Linked DNA regions of Tribolium castaneum. The protein of the gene in region 2 purifies or fractionates together with the protein of the main gene of each other region. This does not show direct contact. Links are inferred from orthologs where the notes say so. Each region holds a gene or a part of one and is shown on either strand. Other genes may lie near its edges.

Region 1 (3,523 bases), about 2.4 Mb from region 2:
TTAACCACTGTCCCCGTTTTTCACCATAAATTACTGGTATGTTTTCTTCTTGGAAACCCCCAAATGCAGTTTTTCATGAACAGCCAAGTTGTACTTTTCCGCAAACTTTTTCCCACAAGTGCCACAAGAAAATTTCTTCTCGCCAGTATGCACCCTCATGTGTCTTTTAAGGTGTGACGCTGATATCAGCAAAAAGCCACAGACGTCACATTTGTACGGTTTTTGCCCAGTGTGAGTGATTTTATGAATATTGAAGGAGGTGTGGTGAACGAATCTTTTACCACACGTATCACATTGAAACGGTAGTTCCCCTAAAACAACCAATCATTTCCTAGCAAAAAACAAGCGTCCACACCTGTGTGGATGGGTGTGTGCCTCATCAAAGCCCCCTTCTGCGTGAATGATTTGTTGCAGTAGACACACGTGAAGGGATTGATCCCTTTGTGCATCCCTACGTGGATTGTTAAAGCTTGTTGGCGCTTGTACGCCTGGCCACAAATTTCGCAAATGTAGGGACGTTCCTTGCTATGCGCCGACATGTGATTTTTCAGTTCCGTTGGCGTTTTCCAGGTTTTGGAACACTGAGTACATTTATAGGGTTTTGGATCCGTCCCATCCTTCTGTTTTTTCTTCACACTTTCACTTCCCGCTTCTTTCGTAAACAAATCCAGCGTGGACTGAATCTCAGACACCGAACTGAGATCATCAATATTAAAACCTGTCTCCAAATCATGCGTCTTCAGGTGATCCTTGAAACTCGCACCGGGGATTTTTTGACCACACATTGTGCATTCCTCGCTTTTATTGCTCGCTTCTCGTTCAATGTAGTTTTTGTTGGGGCAGTGTTTACGCAAATATTGTTTAAACTTGTTTTCGATGTTCCTTGCTCTAACTTTAATACTGTCTAGTTCATTCAGGAGGCGATAACACATCTCGCAAACGAAATAATTTGTTATGCAAAACTCTTCCTCAGCGCAGTCTTGGAGCAACATCAACAGAGGGGTTCTTGTATCGTTGGAGACCGATTGTCGGAGATCGAAGTGCAGAGTTTCGACAGGACACTCGCACAACGTGCACAGTGGTTGAGCCATTTCAAGAAATCGGCTTAACACCAAGCACCACACCACCACCAATTTTAATTTGAAAAAAATGTATTCACTTGTAAGGTTATGTTTTTGTTTATGTCAACTGTCATCACCCCAAAAAAATATTTGTTACTTAAATCCTCCGAATAGCTTCCTGGTTATGTCAAGAAATAATAACCAGCACGTATTAAGCCCAATTTGCGTTATTTTAATGCCATTTCAATTACTTTTTGCACATTTTTATTGTCAATGTCAAGTTGGTTGCCTAAATCGACCTAATCAAATGTCAGTCGGGGAATTAAATCCACCAATCAGCGCAATCCACATGTTTTGAGAAGGTCGTTTCGTGTTTCTCGCTGTGTGAGCATAACGATAAAAATCCATTAATTAAATTAATATTAATATAATGTTTGAAGTTTTTATCCAAAAATGAACGTGAACTCTGTGCCCGTCTTGCTTTTACTGACTTTCATTTCGGTAACCTCAGTTCTAGCAGGGCGAGACTTTTACAAAATACTGGGTGTCTCAAAAAGCGCCAGTTTGCACGAAATCAAAAAGGCCTATCGTCGCCTAGCCAAAGAGCTGCACCCTGACAAGAACCAGGAAGATCCGGAAGCCTCCCAAAAATTCCAGGACCTGGGGGCCGCCTACGAAGTCCTCTCAGACGAGGAAAAACGCAAGAAGTATGATAGATGCGGGGAGGACTGTCTCCAGAAAGACGGGATGATGGACAGTGGGATGGACCCCTTCGCCAGCTTCTTCGGCGACTTCGGGTTCCCCTTCGGGGGCGGCGAACAGAAGCACGAGACTCCGAGAGGCGCTGACGTGGTGATGGACATCGCCGTGACCTTGGAGGATTTATATTCGGGCACTTTTATCGAAATTACGCGGAATAAGCCGGTGATGAGGGCGGCCAAAGGCACCAGGAAGTGCAACTGCCGGCAAGAGATGATCACGCGGAATCTGGGGCCCGGGAGGTTCCAGATGATGCAGCAGACGGTGTGCGACGAGTGTCCGAACGTTAAGCTAGTCAATGAGGAGCGCGTTTTGGAGATGGAAGTGGAGCCGGGGATGGTTGATGGGCAAGAAACGAAGTTTACGGCTGAGGGGGAGCCCCATTTAGATGGGGACCCTGGCGATTTGATACTTAAGATAAAGACGCAGCCGCATCCCGTTTTTGAGCGCAGAGGGGACGATCTGTACACTAACATCACGATTAGTTTACAAGTAATTGTGTTAAGTATTTAGGGACGAGAGTAATTTTTGTCTTGTTAGGACGCCCTTGTGGGGTTCACTATGGAACTCCAGCATCTGGATGGTCACATGGTTTCGATAAGTAGGGACAAAATCACTTGGCCCAATGCCAGGATAAGGAAGAAAGGAGAAGGCATGCCAAACTATGATAATAATAACTTGCATGGGAATTTATTTATTACATTTGATGTAGAGTTCCCCAAACAAGAATTATCAGATGATGACAAAGAAGGTATTCGCGTTAAAGTTGCCAATTTCAAGCGCTCACCACAATTCTGTTTCAGCTATCAAGAAAATTCTAAATCAGAGCTCAAGAAACAAAGTTTATAATGGACTAAGAGGGTTTTAATTTAATTTAATTATAAATAGCAAGTTTTGTATATAAAAAAGACTATAATGAAGTGTGCTTGAGTGTATTGTGAATTAATTTATTACCTTTATTCTTACTCTGTTAAGGTATGACCTTAAAACCTTTGCCCGTTCATAGACTTTTCTACAGTTTTACGTTTCCTGTTCATTTATCAAATGTAAAGGAAAATTTTGTAATATATTGTACTGTCTTTACCAGTTGTTGTGCTTTTATTCCTCTAAATATTGTTAGGCATGACCTGCATACAAAGTGCCGATTAACACAATAATAGAGCGATATTGTTGGTCAATTTTTGTTTTGAATAGTGGAAGAATTTGTATACAGATATGAACAGCAAGTGGGTGTAAAATAAATATGTTATCAGGTTGCAAGGAAATGGTATTCCAGTGACTGTTAGCAATTTGAGGTTGTTTTATTGAGATTGTTCGATTGTAAGTAATTTTAACACACCTGCTTTACTACTCTGAATAAATAGAAGCGATAATTCTTCCATATTTGAGGCAAATTCGCAAAATTCCAGTTTAATTTAACCAAAATTACAGATAGTCTAGAAAAAACGTCGAAAAAGTCTTTTTATTTGTCTTTCAAAGGCTACGCAATTTTTGATAAACGGTTCAGTAAAACACCATTTTTTAAAAAAATATCAGATAGCTCGTAATCCAACGTAAAATTTTACGACTCAAATAGCCCACAGTCCTCCTCCGGCCTCCGCCCCCCTAAACAAGGCACACAATTTAAAAGTTTAGGTTGCAAATTTTTATAAAATTATTTCAACCGATTATTATACCACTATCAAAAGGCTCTAGTTTCCTTA
Region 2 (3,968 bases):
AATTCACCACGACATAGTCAATCCTTTATTTATTGAAGTCGACGAGATCTACCATCTCGCAAGCCCCGCTAGTCCCCCCCATTACATGTACAACCCGGTCAAAACCATCAAAACTAACACTTTAGGTACAATTAACATGCTAGGCCTTGCCAGAAGACTGAACGCCAAAATTCTAATCGCCAGCACTTCGGAAGTGTACGGAGACCCCGACATCCACCCCCAGCCCGAGACGTACTGGGGACATGTCAATCCCATAGGTTGGCGACGGTGTCGTTTTTCCCCTTTGTTACTTTTGCAGTTTGTAGGCCCTCGCGCGTGTTACGACGAAGGCAAACGAGTCTCAGAGACTTTAACTTATGCTTATGCCAAGCAGGAAAACATGCAGGTGCGGGTGGCCCGCATTTTCAACACTTACGGCCCCCGTATGCACATGAATGACGGCAGAGTCGTCTCTAATTTTATCCTCCAGGCGCTGCAAAACGACGTAATCACGATTTACGGCTCAGGGCAGCAAACACGCTCGTTCCAGTACATTTCCGACCTGGTCGATGGGCTGGTAGCGCTGATGAACAGCAACTATACGCTCCCGGTGAACTTGGGGAATCCCGTGGAGCATTCAATTAACGGTATTTTTTACCTAACATTTTACTTGTATCTTTAACCGTATTCGCAGCGTTTTAAAAAATACGAGACGAAGCGCAAATTTTGAATTAATAATTTGTTTGCTCATGTTTTTGTATGAAAATTTTATTCGGCAGTTTTTGTCAGTCTGTTAAAGGAGCAAAGCTCAACATTTCTGCTTTTTTTCCACGTAATCAGTGAATTGGTTGGAATTAAAACCATTTGACGCCGAGACAGTATAACGCCTGAAGCGCTCTCTACCGTATTATTTTTTGGGTTCAGAAAATCCTGCTATTTTGTATCTCGCTTCCCCTCCTAAGTTGTAGTCCTCCGTAGTGTCAGGGATGATTATTTCCAGAATTTGCCTCAATAATTAAAGACCTGGTGGGCGGCCGCAGCAAAATCAATCATTTGGCGGAAGTGGAGGACGATCCGCAGCGCCGCAGGCCGGACATCACCCGCGCGAAAAAATACCTAAACTGGGAGCCGAAGGTGGACCTCAACACCGGCCTCCAAAAGACTGTCGACTACTTCCGCCAGGAGCTGCACCGGTTTAAGCACTCACAGAGAAACAAGTTTTTACCGAAATTGTGATAATTGTGGTTTTGTTGTAAATAAATTTTAAAATTTTCGTGTTTTTCTCAATTGGTAAGCCTGCGATGTGCTGGACCAATCAGCGCAAACCACGAAACGTAAATTTGTTGTGTTCGTGTATGTCACAAAATGGAATAAAATCGTTCGTTAAGTGGGTGTAAATAATGTTAAAGACAGTACAAATGGTACAATTAATGGAAACGACACATAAAAACCTCTGGTTGAAGTTAACACCGTATTTAGCGCTATTTATCTTTATTGACCGTAAGTGGACATAACCTCAAAATGTTGCGATTAATTCGGTTTTCCAGTTTCGGAATGTATCAATCAGGCCGAAGTTGACCGGCATTTAGAGTTAGGGAAACAATACTTAGCTAGGGGCCAATTAGGGGACGCCTTGAGCCATTATCATTCGGCTGTTGGTAAATATTTACCCCGACTTCAATAACACCGTTCACAATCAATCTATTTTTTCCAGAGGGCGACCCTCACAATTATTTAACTTATTTCAAACGCGGCACGGTTTATCTCGCTTTAGGCAAGGCCAAGAATGCAATCAGCGACTTTGACTTGGTCCTGGAGATGAAACCAGACTTCACCGCTGCTAGGATTAGTCGAGGAAATATTCACTTAAAACAGGCCAATTATGACCTGGCCCAGTTAGATTTTTATAATGTGGTAAGTAACGACTCACATAATACAGTACTTAAGTACTACAACAAAAACTCAGTTAAAAACAGACCCTTACAACCAAGAGGCCAATGATTTGATTGCACGGATAGACCCAGCCAAGGAGCGAGTGCGTTTGGCTGAATATTATTACGCCCATGATGATTACGTAAACGCAATTCACTTAGTCACGGAGGCCCTAGAGACAAGCCCCTGGGCCCCCCAGTTGTACGAGCTGCGGTCCCAGATGCATATGCACAACGGTGACGAAATGGCAGCTGTCAGTGATATCAGATCGGCCACAAAGCTACAAAGCGATAACACCGAAGGTTACTTCAAGTTATCGCAATTATTATACAAACTGGGGCATGCTTCCGAGTCCCTTAAATTCATAAGGGAATGTCTCAAACTTGATCCCGAACACAAAGATTGCTTCCCATTTTATAAAAAAATCAAAAAAGTTGAGAAATTCCTAACTGAGGCTGAGGCAGCTCTTGAGAACAAGAATTATCAGGAGTGCATTGATGCTGCTCTCAAGGCTGAAAAAAACGAAAAGGAGGTTCAGAATGTTGTGTACAATGCCAAGCGGTTGTTGTGCGCTTGTTATTCGAATGATGAGCAGTCGGAGGAGGCGGTGACGGCCTGTACTCAAGCGCTTGAAATAAACGACGACCCAAATGTTTACTGTGATAGGGCAGAGGCGTATTTACAGTCAGAACTGTACGATGACGCTATTAGGGACTACAAGGCGGCGTTGGAAATGAATTCGCAGTTTGAAAGGGCGAGGGAAGGGCTCAGCAAGGCCGAAAATCGCCAAAAACAGTCAGAACGTCGCGACTATTATAAAATCCTAGGTGTTAAAAGGACAGCTTCCAAGCGGGAGATCACGAAAGCGTACCGAAAAATGGCACAAAAGTGGCACCCCGACAATTACCAGAACGACGAGAAGATGAAGAAAATTGCCGAGAAGAAGTTTATTGACATTGCTGCCGCTAAAGAGGTTTGTTTGATAAAAAATATTATAATCTGTTCATGACTGTTTTAAACACGCTGCAGATGTTTTAGATATTTTTTTAAATTAAATTAGTTTAAAACGGTTTTTGGGTTCAGAAAAGTCTGCGATTTTGTATCTCGTTTTGCCTCCTGAGTTATAGTCCTCCGTAGTTTTGTGCTAACACTCGTTTTTTAGGTTTTGACGGACGATGAGAAGCGAAGACAGTTTGATAACGGGGAAGACCCGCTTGACCCTGAGTCAGGTCGGGGAGGAATGCCCAACTTCCATCAGTTCCACACTTTCCACGGAAGTCCGTTCCAGTTCAAATTTCATTTCAATTAAATATTTTGTGTTGTGTGGCCAACTCAGGATAAGTGTGTGATAAAAATCCATCACGGAATTTGCCAGAACAAGCTTATCTAGTTATTTTGTGTAAAAAGGGACTGATATCATGTACATAAATTAAATGAGTAGTTTTTACCATTTGTCCTTACATTGTACATATTTATATGATAATAAAATATTTATATTACGAACTTGTCTTGTTATTTGAAAGTCGGGCCCCCAAACTTAGTGACTTTACCGTTACCGCGTTGGCAATAACATCGATCTCATTGGCCGACGTTACGACTGTCATTCTTTTTGACAGATTTTGCTTTCGGTAAGTTTGGGTTTGCAACTTTCCTTAAATTAATTAAATCTTGTAAAAATCGGCAAAAATAACCCAAAAGTTGGCCCTAAAACGGTTTAATGTGCCCCAAGTGCGTGTTTTCCCGGGCGGATTGTGTCACTTCGCCCCGATAAAGTCGGATTAACCTAACTTGTTTACATGTGTGTCATTTTGTAGCGATGGCAGACGCAGCAGCGAAGAAACCCAAGGCGGCCAAAAAGGCGAAAGAAGGCGCGGAGAATGTCGCCCCAAAAAAGCGGCCTCATAAGAGACATGGGAGGTTATACGCGAAAGCGATTTTCACGGGTTACAAGCGCGGCCTTCGCAACCAGCACGAAAACACGGCCCTTTTGAAAATCGAAGGCACGAATGCCAAGCCCGATAGCTGGTTCTATGTTGGAAAGAAGTGTGTTTACGTGT

Evidence for each region. Proteins that work in one complex are often made in the same cells at the same time.
Region 1: the proteins of P58IPK (region 2) and shv purify together in Homo sapiens (affinity purification with mass spectrometry; 3 studies listed by BioGRID and IntAct, with this or other methods). This does not show direct contact. The link is inferred for Tribolium castaneum from reciprocal best matches to the Homo sapiens genes DNAJC3 and DNAJB11.

The regions. Positions count from the first base shown.
Region 1 is NC_087398.1:6,633,896-6,637,418, forward strand, and holds shv (dnaJ homolog shv), read left to right. Parts: upstream 1-1,388; 5' UTR 1,389-1,514; coding exon 1,515-2,312; intron 2,313-2,360; coding exon 2,361-2,571; intron 2,572-2,623; coding exon 2,624-2,688; 3' UTR 2,689-2,906; downstream 2,907-3,523. Other genes in the region: zinc finger protein 239, read right to left, coding at 35-311, 356-1,091. UniProt on the Homo sapiens protein: As a co-chaperone for HSPA5 it is required for proper folding, trafficking or degradation of proteins.
Region 2 is NC_087398.1:4,236,990-4,240,957, forward strand, and holds P58IPK (dnaJ homolog subfamily C member 3), read left to right. Parts: upstream 1-1,281; 5' UTR 1,282-1,379; coding exon 1,380-1,479; intron 1,480-1,526; coding exon 1,527-1,637; intron 1,638-1,693; coding exon 1,694-1,893; intron 1,894-1,945; coding exon 1,946-2,884; intron 2,885-3,073; coding exon 3,074-3,220; 3' UTR 3,221-3,414; downstream 3,415-3,968. Other genes in the region: Uxs (UDP-glucuronic acid decarboxylase 1), read left to right, coding at 1-257, 306-626, 980-1,215; RpL35A (large ribosomal subunit protein eL33), read left to right, coding at 3,728-3,968. UniProt on the Homo sapiens protein: Involved in the unfolded protein response (UPR) during endoplasmic reticulum (ER) stress.